Linked DNA regions of Schizosaccharomyces pombe. The gene in region 2 interacts genetically with the main gene of each other region. Each region holds a gene or a part of one and is shown on either strand. Other genes may lie near its edges.

Region 1 (4,427 bases), on a different chromosome or scaffold from region 2:
GCGTTGGGAATCATTTTTGGATCAATAACGACTCTAATTTTCCCTATGCACTCTTTTAATTTTTATGTTTTTCTTTCGTGTAATATTTCTATCCCATATTCGTATTAATGTATTTCCAACTACCGCTTTATTACTTTGCACTTCTCTAGCTGACGATTTCTATTCTATTCTAATTATTTTTTTGCAATTTCCCTTTTCGTCCATGGTACTTCATTACTTGAAAAGAAAATGTACCTTAAAATATTGCATTCTATCTACTAACCTTACAGCAACCCTACACTCCTTTGTAAATAAATAACTTGTGTATGTTTTTAAAAATTGTCTTTGTTACTCAAGCCTTTTTATATTTGTTTATGTTTAAACGCTTTTTCCTGCTTAAATTGTGTTACTTATATGTAAAAGCGTATGCAAAAATTTGTTTAATAATATGGTGTATGACTACTTTATGTTACATATTTATTTGTCTTAATTTAGACTCGTGATTCAAAGCTCTCAAAACGATAGCTCAAAAAAATGTTCATGTAGGAAACGTTTATCATTTTGTATCCTAAGGTTTATTCATATTTTTTAAAAAAAAAAGTGGATTTCGCTTTCATTAATAATCTCGTTATATCAATAGCTAATCACATAATCAAGTGCGAAATGGAAAAGCATTTAATCAATTCAATGCCGGATATCTGACTGTTGAATCGCAATGTCTTCAGCCTTTTTGAGGAAAGGTAAAAGCTTTCCATATTCTTCATAAGTTTGGGCGGATGGTTTATTCATGATTAGTTCAATTTTCTTGGACTCATCCCAAGATTTGTTTACATATTCTTCAAAGGTAAATCCTTTTCCATTCATTGCATATGCAGCCTTGATAGCGCCCTAAATTGATGGTCAGTAACTATTAATTAACAACATTTTCCGTTCACTTACGCCAACAGCACAGGCATTACTACCGCCGTGTTTTAGCCGATAAACATCACATCCCAAAACCTGGCTAATTTTAAACACAATAGCCTCGTTACGACTAGCTCCTCCTACAACATAAACACGATCAGGTTGTGGTATACCAGTTAGCAAAGGAGTAATCCGCATGCGGATATCAAGATTTTGACTTTCAACTATGGCAGAAGCATCCTCATCTGGATAATCCCATGATTCTTCATCTTTATCCACCTGATACAACTCGGTGCCTTGGATTGCAAATCTCCACGTACCCGGTCCAACTGCGGGTAAAATCTCCCTTTGTGGATAAAAAAGACCGAGCTGTTTCTTTTCACCAGCACCTTTAATGTTGGGGTTCAAAATCGATTCATTAAAGCGGTCCCAACTGGTATTGTCCGAAACATTATATTTTTCATTGATTGTGTTTCTTACCTGTTCCCGCGCTAAGCTACCGTTTTTATAGCATAACATTACCATATAATGCTAAAGTCCATGTTAGTTAGAAAACCAGAGAAAATGATGAGTTTTGAACAACTACTTCACCAAAAGAAAGTCAAGTTCAACTTACGTTCTGCGTAACAGGATGAGCAAACATGTGATACTCTGGAGAACACACATAGTTTTGAGTAGCCATTAGAGCAGTAGTACTAGTACCCAATGATAATAGTACATCTTTTCCCGGTCTTAAAGGAAGGGATAAAATAGTGGCAGGGTTATCTCCAGTTAAAGGAATGATTTGACAGTTAGGAGAAAACCCATACTTCTTAACGAAATACTTCCCAATTGGTCCTAGATGTTTTGCCCCGTTAATCTCAACCGTACCTAGTTTGTTAGCCAAGTCGGGTCCTTTAGAATTACCAGCAACTTCTTCCAACAAGCGAATATCGAATTTCTCATTCTGAATGTCCCAGAGATTCATTCCACAAACGTCACTGATGTCTAAAGGTGCCTCGGTTTGCAGAAGTACCGAGGCTAGAAAATTAGAGACAAGTGCAATTCGTTCGGTATTTTCGTATGTCTCGGGGTGCAAACGACGAAAACGCTTGATTTGGGGTCCAGTAAAGCGTAGGTGAGCTTTAGACCCAGTAAGGTCCGCTAGTGCTTTGGCTCCACCAATGCAAGATTCAAGCTCCTCGCATTCTTTGGTAGTACTGGCATCTTGCCAATTTGGAGATGTTGGATGAATGAGACTTTCCAATTGTTGTTTTAAAGAAGATTTGGCATCCAACGAATTGAGGGCTTTTTTACTTCCCTTAAGCAGGAAAACGCTTGCATGTTGCTGACCGGCACCAGATATAGCTTGTATTTTGCTAACATCCACAGAAGCCTTAAGTCTCTCAAACAGTAAATCGATGGCGTCTAGCCACATACATACTGGAGCAAAAACCTCATATCCATTCCTGTAGACCCCTTTGATAGTGTTGTAATCACTTAGATCCCGATCAAAATCGACGGCAACCTCTTGATGCACGTTCAAAGACTCATCAATGACCACGCCCTTGAGCTGCTGAGTTGAGAGATCCAAACCTAAAAACATATTCACAAAAGTCAAATCTTTAAAATGACTGTCGATATATTGTACTTAAGAAACGGAAAGAATGAATTTCGACAAAATCAAATTAACAGAAAAATCTCGTTTTAGCGCCTTCCTTAAGCTGTATTTTCCGCAGTTATATGTCTGATCAATATATATATCGTTAACCATTGACATCCAAAAGTTCTAGCCGTGACTTATGTCCGTTTTTACTTACGATTATGTTCGTAAAAATACCTTAGATACAGTTTACCGAAACCTTTTCAAACGTTAGCTTAAAAAAACTCAGAGTGTTGTTGGGGTAAGGTACCTTGTTTACTCTAGAGAAAAACAACGCGTTGGAAACACGTTTGGCAAAAAACTCTTTGAAAAAAAGTGATATTCGTTTCAAAATCGAATATCAATATAAAAAAATGGCTGAAAAGTTTGATACTGACAAGGAATAAAGCTAAAAACTCTTGTTTCAGCAACAATTGACTGAACTCTGGGAGAACACGAAAAGAAGGAGAAATGAAGTCGTTTACTTAAAAAATCGTTAAAAAGTTATTACTTCAATAAATTTAATATTTTCTTGTTTGTTAATTGTACTCAGAACTGAGCAATGGTATGTAATAAAGCAAGAAATAATACAAATCCTATATGGTTGTGGTTAGGCTTCGTTATCACAAAGATCCTGAAATATCATTTTAAGATATGCGTAATGTGCGTCCTTAATTTAAGCTTAGAGAAACGAACCACTTACTTTCGTTTTGTTAAGCTTATTTTTTTCAATGAGTAACATGTTTTTTAGCTAAAACAAAATGCTACATCTCAAAAGTATGAGGCCGAAAATATCTTTAATGAAAAAACCAGCATATTTTTTAAAATGAAGCTGTCTAAACATGAACAGTTTATACCGAAATAAATTCCTTTTCTTTTGAAGTTAGAGACCCTCAAATGTCCGAAAATAGTTGTAAGCTGGTAAATCGCTCTTATTATTTACTTTTCCAAACCTTCAATAAGCCATTTCTCGAGTATGGCACGAAATCGCTACATAAACTTTTTCGTTAATTGATCAATTGATTAAACAAATTCCAAGAGTTTTTGGAGCGAAGAATTAGTTTTCTTTTAGCAAAACATTGTCAGTTATGGTGTCGTAAAGATAGCGTAATCTTTACTTCTGAGTCTATTTTTACAAAATCAATATAGCTAAGCCAGGGGTGGCTAGACGTTTAGCTGTACGGTTTTTTTTTCTGCGTATTGTTGAGCGAATTCTATAGTATTTGTTTTGTCGTCAAGGGCATTTGTATATGCATACATAATGCCCTCAACAGTTGCTTATAAGAGGCTTACTCCTTTGTTCTTTTCCAATTTCTTTAAAACAAAAAACTTAAGTACATAAATTAGCCTTCTTTGGATCTCTTACCTCTGCAGATTGAGAAAGGTAGGTGAGAATGCTGCACGCTCAATTCACAAATTTGCGACTGTTATTTAAACAGACCTTCTTTTTTAGTTTGATTTTAGTCGCTTTTATAGTTGCCTATGTATTTCATCTTAATTTCATTCTAACAAATTAGATATTGCACAATGGAGGAAACTTTGCCCAGTTATGAAGCCGCAAGTGGTGCAGCAAACCTACAAGAGGTAAAACCACAAGTTCTTCCCTTGGAAGAGATTAAAAAAATTTATAAAATTAGTTACTGGTGGTTATGCAGCATTGCGCTCATCCAAACTTGGTGGGTACTGCTTGGTTTACTTCCAATATTCTTTGCGTTGGAACATTATGAAGTTCCCTACAAGTGGATTTTTATTATCGAGATGCTATACTACGAACTGTATCTCACTCTTTATGTTTGCTGGTGCTGTATGTTTTCCCTTTGCGTAAAACTATTAAATAAATTGCTAACCATCTAATCGTCTAGATAAACTCAGATCTGATTTTTGGAACGAAGCGGCAAAAAATCGCCCCAACGAGGGTAACTAA
Region 2 (9,002 bases):
GTTTTTCTCATTTAGCCGTTGCCATTGAATGAAGTACCTTCCTTGGCAATCAATATATTGCAGATTTGTTTTAAAATGCTTGAAAAGGGGTTGACTGAAAGAGTGGTTTGGCTGTTATGAGTTGTACTATGTTGGTTTACTAGTTTAGTTAGTTAATGAGGCGTAATTGAGGTTTTAATGGAATAATTTCTAACAATAAATTAGGCATTCGCTTTGTATTGCTTTTTCTGTTTATTAATTGATTATCTTGGCGGAGAACGGGCTGCAGTTATTAGTTTGCATGGACATCTGCCTCGTCCTAGGTTATGGCCCTTGAATTATTTGCAAGATGATATTGACCTAAGTGATCCTTACACCTTCCTTTCTATAAAACGTGGGATTTTACAATACACTTGGCTTAAACCATTTCTGGTGATTGCCGTGCTGTTAACAAAAGTCACCGGAGTCTACGACAGAGAAGATCAACCTGTTTATGCTTCTGCAGACCTTTGGATAGGTCTTGTTTATAACATTTCAATTACGCTTTCTTTATATTCACTAACAACTTTTTGGGTTTGCTTGCATGAAGAGCTCGCTCCTTTTCGCCCTTTCCCAAAATTCCTTTCCGTTAAAGCTATTATATTTGCCTCTTACTGGCAGCAAACCGTTCTTTCCATTACAAACTGGCTGGGACTTTTAAATGGAACAGGCTGGATTTACTCCTTACTAAATCAGAACGTTCTCATGTGTTTAGAAATGCCCTTTTTTGCCCTCTCACATTGGTACGCTTTTCGAATCGAGGATTACGATACACCCACATGGCTGTCTTGTGCAAGACTACCGCTCCTTAAAGCCTTTAAAGACGTAATCGGGTTGAAAGACGTCTGGTGCGATAGTTTGCAAACTCTACATGGAGATCGTTATGTATATCAAAATTTTGAGCCTGGGGAGAACTTAATACCTTCAAGAAACGATGGAAGGATTAATAGAACAAGTCATGGTCTTCGGTACAGTCAGGGAGGTCAATCGAAATACTGGATTTCTCGATATGATCAATCTCGAGTGCGTCTCATTAACAATAGTCAAAACTCTCCACAATCAAATAAGTCCTACTTTTCTATCCCAGGGATGTCAACTTCACATTTCGAAAATGGGCTCCAATTTGAAATAGACGATGAAATGGAACCATTATACAATCAAGCGAAACAGATGCGTTATGGTGATTATAATTATCCAGTTCTTCTAGTGAACAATACTCATGCATCTTCTTCATATACATAAAAGTCACTAGAACCTAGTAGCAAAAGAACTTAATGTATTGCTGAATGGCATTGCATTGGACCGTTTGGTTTTTGGCATTTGATTCTGAGCTGCCAAAACAATTTCATTCAGATTTGTCTCTAAGACAAGACCACCAGATACTACCTCAGCAAGAATAGCATGTATTTCTTGGAATTTAAAAACCTATATTGTGTTAGATCTTTCTAATTCGCTTTCAAACAGATGGCTTTCAACTCTTCTAATTATTTCTTCCTTCAATATCCTTTTTTTTTGGCGTATACACTTGTATTTGGATAATTATTACTAACACCTCCTCTTTTTTTTCATTGGAGATTGCGAATCATCGACAATGAGACTCTACTTCCAGTTCTATGCATAATTTCTTTCTTGAAGGCGATGAGAAGTAAAGGAATTAGGAATTAAACTCTTGTAGTTCCTAAGTTCAATAAATGATAAAAATAAATGTTATGCTCTTTTGATAATCGAATATTGGACAAACATTAATGTTTCTTGTAAGGCCAAATTTCCAAACATTCGAAACCAAATAAGAAAAAAACAAATTAAATAAAAAAAAACGGAATCAATGGTTTCAAACATATAGCAGTAGGATAATGGGAAGATAAACGAGTAGTGAAATGTACTTACCAAATCAAGCTCGCAAACATTATTAAAGCATCGATCTAATGCTTCAACAAATACCTTTAATAGTTAGAAATTGGAAAGTAACTAATTTCAACTTACTTGAATGAGATCGAGAATTCCTAGTTCACTTTCACCTTCATCTACTACAAAAACGAAGTAGAGAGTAGCGTACTGGCGATAAATTATTCTATTTTTACCTGCAATTAAATTACTTTCCAAAAAATTACAAGCGGTTGGGGGCCTAGTGGATACAGCTGCATATATATCTCCTATTAACTTTTGTTGAATGGATTCATCAATTGGAGTGTAAAACTTTGTGAGACGAGGTTTCCCTTTATTGTTAAATATAAAAACAGCGTAAATCATGACAATAGAAAGGGAAAGCTGGCAGAACCCAAATATGCAGTGCTTGGTAAACGGCAAGCTGAAGTTTAAGTTGAATATACGTTAATAGTAGTTTGGAAGAACCAGGATCGACAAATTTCTTTCAATGCCTTAGTTAATTTGCTATATTTAAGATTTTCATGGTTTTATATTTATTGAGTATATTATTTATCCACTATTGAACCAAAGATCTGTTACTGAAATTCATAATGTCTAGTAAACAATTTTTGCCATGCCTTCAATGATCTCTATAACGAACTACTTTGTATACAATTTAGGAATAGAAAAATAGGAAAAAACATTTGTCTTCCACCAATTTTTGAATTGATGGTTATGAAATATTCAAATAGCTACATAGTATGTGACATCTCAGTAATAAGTAGACACATACTAATAGTTATATGAGGTGATCCCACTATTCAGTTACTATAGGTATATATTGGTAGCTTTTTTTTGATTAATATACTAATTAAGTGAATATTTGCATAATATGATTAGCAATGAACGCTGCCTTGCTATATGGGAGGCACTTGTTTTAATCAACACTACTATAGATGATAGTAAAGCGAAATTCCAATTACGTACGATTAGACAGTACGTGCCTAAGTGTTTTTCTATGAAAATAGAACTAATCATTTCTTCATACAATGTAAGCTGATTTAAACGGAAGAATTTAAGTATTGCAAGTAAGTTGCTAGAATATTAGACAGCCTAAAACTTGATAAAGCGAATATTGACGAAGCTAAGGCTCGTGGACTACTGTTGCAATCACCACTTTACTGGTAACGAGATTAAATAGAATTTGATATCCCATTTTTTTAAACCGAAAACAAATTGTATTAACATATTCCATCTTGCTTAACACCTTCAAATAACTCCCTTTCTTCTCGTATTAAACATTTTTACGAAACGTGTTACAATAGTCGTACAGTTCCTACGACTACGATATTGGCATATAACAAATAGCGCTACCAGACAATCAATAAGTCATTAGCATGAAAAATAATTGCCACGTAACTAAACTCGCTACTTCTCATTAACCAACGTCTTCTAGTAGTTGTCGATGAGTTTGTATTGATGCCTCCTGTTTCAAAAAATACTCGCACTTCATCAAAGACTGTTAAGAAACCCTATGACCCACCTCAGGGGAGCTCAAGGCCCTTTTTTACGGTCTTGAAACGGGCATTTTCATCTGTTTTGCACCCATTCACCAGTGGTCTAGACGAGAAAGCTTCAGGAACGGCTAGCAAGGATAGAAAGAGTGGAAGAGCAGGTACAAAAAGCCTGCTTACTCCAGAGTTAACACCTCATTATTTAGGAAAATCTCCGTAAGTTGACATTTTTGTCGTGAAACATATTAACATTAAATAGAAGAATTATTCGCGTTAGTAATCGGAGCCATGTTAGAACAATTGATGGAATAGAGGAAAAAGTTCATACGAATACATTTGAACCTAGGAAGCCAAAGCAAAAGCAAGATTATACTAATTCCCCAACGCTTTTTAAACGCCATGACGAGTTGTCGTTAAAATCACTTAATTCGCTTCATCCTTCTTCTGCTTTATCCAAAAAGTTGGGCAGCACTTCTCAACATCAAATTGCAACTCCCAAATCCTCTGCTTCATTGCTCAATATCCTTCGGTCACTTCACGATGAGCAGAAAAATACCTTAAATATATCAAGTGTAAAACAAGATCGTATTACCGAAGCTAATCCTACTTGTGAGAAGCGCAAGCCTTCTAGAAGTCCCAGTCCTATGCTTTCCAAAAAGAAATCTGTTGCTCGTGCCTCTGAAAACGAGCCCTCAGCTAAGCAGAACAAAAGCTTTTCTGGAAATGATTCCCATAAGAGTCTTACCGACATTAGAGATAAGGAGAATGGCGAAACAGAGGTCTCAGCAAAAAATCACGTTCCTCACCGCTCCTCTCGGCGACGTCGTAGACACCAGCGGCTTATCCCTATCATTTATGAAACTCTTGAACAGATGGATTTAAGGAAGCCTGTATTAGTCAATGCAGAAGTTCAGACAGATTCCAACCCCGGTAATACAATGTTTATTGATAAGCAAGATATTTATCACCGGTTAAGTACACCCACTTCGCGTAAGCGTCAGACTCTCGAGAAAGGTCATATTAAGGCTTTTTCTGCAGTTGATGAGGATTTGGATGAAATCTTTGCTTGCGAAGATGACGTTCATTACACCGCATTACCCAAACAAAATCCAAAATCTGAGCGTATATTAGAACCTATAATAGCATCTCCCAAGGATAATACAAGTGACAAGGGTTTATTGACGAAGTCCGCCCCTACCTTTGAAGAGCTTCAAGCCTCTATTACCCCTAAGCCTGTAAAGACTTCTCCGAATGATACGGCACTTACTCTCGCGAACGCTGAGGATAATAAAACCTTTGAACATCAGCCATTGTCAAAGGATACAGAAGCGCCCAAAAGCCAATTTTCCTCATCGCCGACAAAAGAATCTACAACTAGAAAGTCCGAAGTTGAACCGCCATCACCTTCTAAGGAAATCAAATCTTCTCACTTTTCAGTACCCGAATTTAAGTTTGAACCGAAGACTGAAGCTACCACGGACAAAAAATTAAATGTACCCAAATTTGAGTTTAAGCCAACTGCTACTGCTGATGTGCAAACTAATCGTTTGAAGGAGAATGAGCCCAAGCCAACGTTCTTTGCACAATTACCGTCAAAGACTCAAGAGACGCCAAGTATAACTGAGAACAAGCCTTCATTTTTTTCTCAATTAAGTCCAAAACGAGAAGAAACAGAAAAGAAGGACAACGCTCCGTCTGCTCCTGCTTCAACTTCTGGTTTCAGCTTTGGAGGATTCGCACCTAAAACCCTTGAAGAGAAGGAAGAAACGAAAGCTCCTACGTTCAATTTCTCTTTAAACAATGCTTCTAGTACACAAGACACAACAAAACCTACGCTACAATTTAATTTTGGAAGTAGTTTTGGAAAGCCAACAAGCAATATTTTCAATGACAAAAAAACTTCTGAAAATGGTCTAGCTAGTTCTACTGTTGCTTCTGAGTCAAAACCGTCAGCTCCCGAATCAAAACCGTCCTCGGGTTTTGGAAATACCGCAGGCTCATCACCCTTTTCATTCAATTTGACCAAGGAGTCCAAAGAAGTCCCACCTACAAATTCCTTTTCTTTTGCTAAAAAAGGGAAAGATGAAGCGAATGACAGTTTGTCAGCTAAAGCTTCTACTCCATTTTCGTTTGCAAAACCTAATACTGAAAATGTAACAACAACTGCTCCTCAGTTTTCATTTAATTTTACCAAGCCAAATACGGATGCCAAAACCAATTTGCTACCTGAAAAAACTTTTAATGAAGAAGCCGTAAAGCAAAAGGAAACTGAAAAAGAGGTCCCTCCAACAGGTCCAAAAGCTTCTGAAATAAAGGATTCAGTATCTTCTAATAACGCTGTGCCCTCTTCAACCTTTAATTTTGTATCTCCCTTTGCTGCTGTATCTGAAAAAACAAATGAGAATAACATTCCTAACGATACAACGAAGACGAATGGCAATGCTACTAAGAGAACTTTGGAACAAACGGAGGATGCAAAGCCTTTTGCTTTCTCCTTCGGTTCCACTACAGAACAGGCAAACAAAAAAGCCTCAACGTCAAATGAAACTACGAAGCCTCAATTGGATACATCTTCTAAAACTGATGGAGTAACTGCTAATGCGCCGTTTAGTTTTGCATCAGCTTTTAATGCACCTAAACCCTCGACTAATACTGCTGATGGCAAAGATTCTGCTTCGAATCTTACCACTCCTTCACCTGCTTTTTCATTTGGAAACAATAGTGGTGTTAAAGCATCCAGTAACAACAATCCCTCTACAAATTCGTCTACGGCACCGTTTTCTTTTGGTACATCAAATAAACCGGCATTTAGCTTTGGGTCTGCAACTTCAAAGACTACCTCTGAAGGAACCGCTCCAGCTGCTTCTGCTTCTGCTCCTGCTCCCACTACGTCTGCATTTTCTTTTGGAGCATCAAATTCTAGTATGAATAAGGAAGAGAACACTCCCATGGCTAAGGATGCTGGAGATACGGCACCTGCGTCTGGCTTTAAGTCTGGGTTTTCGTTCGGTGCTAACAATTCGCCTCAGCCTGCTTCTATGTTTGGTACATCGACGCCGGCCCCGTCTTCCGCGTTTGCGTTTGGCAACCAGTCAGGCACGAACCCAGCAGCTCCTGCAGGGTTTGGAGGGATTACTAATACTGCCACTAATAACCCTCCTAGTACAGGTTTTACATTCACTCCATCAAATGCTGGATCAACTGCGGCTCCTATGTTTGGCGCTGGAAACACTCCCAACCCATCCGGGTCCATCAATAATGCATCACAAGCATTCGCCTTCGGGTCAGGAGAACCTAGTAATCCAGCTAGTAATCCACCTAGTACCGGATTTTCGTTCGGTGCGGCTACTCCGTCTGCCTTTAATGCAAGTGCCTCACAATCACCAGCGCCCAATGGTATTCAATTCAATTTGGGCTCTTCTAACTCACAAACAAATGCGCCCCCGGGCCGTAAAATTGCTGTGCCCCGAAGTCGAAGAAAACGTTAAATTAATATTATGACATGTTGACAAGACAATATGACAAAACATTGCGGTTGGGTATATGATAGTTTAGATAGACTTTGTCCTTTAAATTAATTGCTAAGGAATAATTATTACATTTTTGTTTACACATACGGACGCTTTTATTCTTATTATATAAATTAAAGTACGAGCTTTTTGTAAAGGAGGTCTAACCAAGTTACCCATGAGACACAAAACCCAATTTCCATTATACATATGAAACCCTAATATAATCTAGTATCTAAAAAATTCAAAACCTAACCAAACACTTATCATTTGAAAATTTCTCCCTTTCACGTATTCACCTATTTGCGCTTAGATTTCGATTTTTTTGTAGACTTTTTGTTGCTAAGTCTATCATTCTTTGTCTTCTTGTATGCTCGGGGCACCTCTTCCTTTTCCATTTGCTTTTTTCTTTTAGCTAAAGACTTTTTATCTTTCGCTTCGGAGGCTATAATGTTAGCAAACATATTTTTTTATTTCAATGTCACATACCTTTAGAAGCTTGTTTATCTTTTTCGGATTGAAACCAGGTACGTGCTGGACGAGAACGAATTTCATCACCATATTTCATAATGTTTTCGCCTTTCTTTAAATCGCGTTCGGCAATTTTTAGCTACATTTGTTAGAAAAAAAATTTATATACTTATAAAAACAACATACTTCTCGTTCTTGTTTTTCTTCATCTAGCACTTTCTGAACAACAGGTTCCAATTCCTCAATTTCTTTACCAAACTTTTCAACTTTGTTAAAATCCAGATTACGGTTGACCAATTTTGTGTTTTGCGCTGAAGAATTTTTGAATACACCTTTAAGAACTTTGCGATCGCCCTCACCGGCTAATGTAATAGCTCTACCACTCCTGCCAGCACGAGCAGTACGACCAACACGATGAAGATAAACTTCGTGAGTAGCTGGAGCTTCGTAATTTATTACGACCTCAATGCCTTTGATATCAATACCACGAGATGCAACATCTGTAGCCAACAAATAGTTACATTTTCCATCACGAAAGTCTTCCAAAGCACGGACACGCTGTTCTTGCGACAATGAACCGTGGATTTCGGTAGCGTTTAAGGATAAAAGGCCAAATATGACTCGCATCTTGTGAGCAAAAGCTTTGCTCCTGAAGAAGATAATAGTTCTTCTATGAAATAATTCCTTGCAGAGATAGATAAGCATAGCTGGGCGAAGTAACTCACGTTGTGGTCGAACACGGACAAATTCCTGAGTTAAAAGTTTGGCGGTAGTTTTCTTATTATCGACAAAAACTCGTACTGGCCGATTTAAAGATAAACGAATTAAATCATCTACTTTATCAGTCATAGTGGCCGAAAAAAGCATCGTTTGTCTAGACTTTGGACAAGCTTGAATAATTTCATTCAGTTCATCAGCAAAACCATCTTCCAGCATACGATCGGCTTCATCCATTACCATAATCTCAATGTTTTCCACAGTGAATCCTTGTGAATTGCGCATATGATCAATAAAACGACCCGGGGTGGCGATGACAATGTCAGGACGTTTACGAAGTTCCTGCTCTTGTAACTTGAGGGACAAACCACCGATACACAGACAAACCATAATGTCAGTAAAAGAGGCAATTTTCGTAGCAACGCTATGACATTGCATAGCAAGCTCACGAGTAGGACAAAGGATCAATACTCTTGTAGTAGGGACCTTTTTGGGACGGTAGAGCAAACGCTCCAAAATAGGAACAATGAAAGCCGCTGTCTTACCACTACCAGTAACTGCAGCACCAACGATATCTTTACCTAAAAGTGCAAGTGGTATTGTCTTGTCTTGAATCTGAGTTGGCACTTCAAAACCAAGATTAGAAAGGCCCTTTAAGATAGGGCGTGACAAATTCATAGATTGGAAAGACGAATGTGTAGTGGTCATCATAGATTTTTCTTTATCACCTTCAGCAAAGAAAGCATTTTTCTTAGCAATTTCCTCTTCATCTTCTTCGCTGTCGGAGGAACCAGCAGCAGAATCGGAATTGAAATCCTGAGTAGAAATATTGGCAAAAGAAGGAACAGGCTCAGTAATATCATCTTCCTCTTCGCTTTCACTTTCATCTTGGGAAGACTCGTCTTCA

Evidence for each region. Genes that interact genetically often act in the same process or in processes that back each other up.
Region 1: mutations in nup124 (region 2) and xks1 together harm fitness less than expected from each alone (positive genetic interaction), as found in Schizosaccharomyces pombe (one large-scale study listed by BioGRID).

Annotation. Positions count from the first base shown.
Region 1 is NC_003421.2:704,310-708,736, forward strand, and holds xks1 (xylulose kinase), read right to left. Parts: upstream 2,590-4,427; 5' UTR 2,468-2,589; coding exon 1,499-2,467; exon of another isoform or gene 1,414-1,498; coding exon 919-1,413; exon of another isoform or gene 868-918; coding exon 664-867; 3' UTR 501-663; downstream 1-500. Other genes in the region: retromer complex subunit Vps5, read left to right, coding at 1-28; protein meu15, read left to right, coding at 4,031-4,307, 4,366-4,419.
Region 2 is NC_003424.3:1,108,851-1,117,852, forward strand, and holds nup124 (nucleoporin Nup124), read left to right. Parts: upstream 1-3,324; 5' UTR 3,325-3,363; coding exon 3,364-3,614; intron 3,615-3,657; coding exon 3,658-6,886; 3' UTR 6,887-7,018; downstream 7,019-9,002. Other genes in the region: transporter Hfl1, read left to right, coding at 205-1,260; AP-3 adaptor complex subunit Aps3, read right to left, coding at 1,267-1,443, 1,906-1,959, 2,002-2,268; ddx27 (putative ATP-dependent RNA helicase Ddx27/Drs1), read right to left, coding at 7,207-7,352, 7,397-7,517, 7,565-9,002. UniProt on the Schizosaccharomyces pombe protein: Nucleoporins may be involved in both binding and translocation of the proteins during nucleocytoplasmic transport. In S.pombe it is required for the nuclear localization of retrotransposon tf1.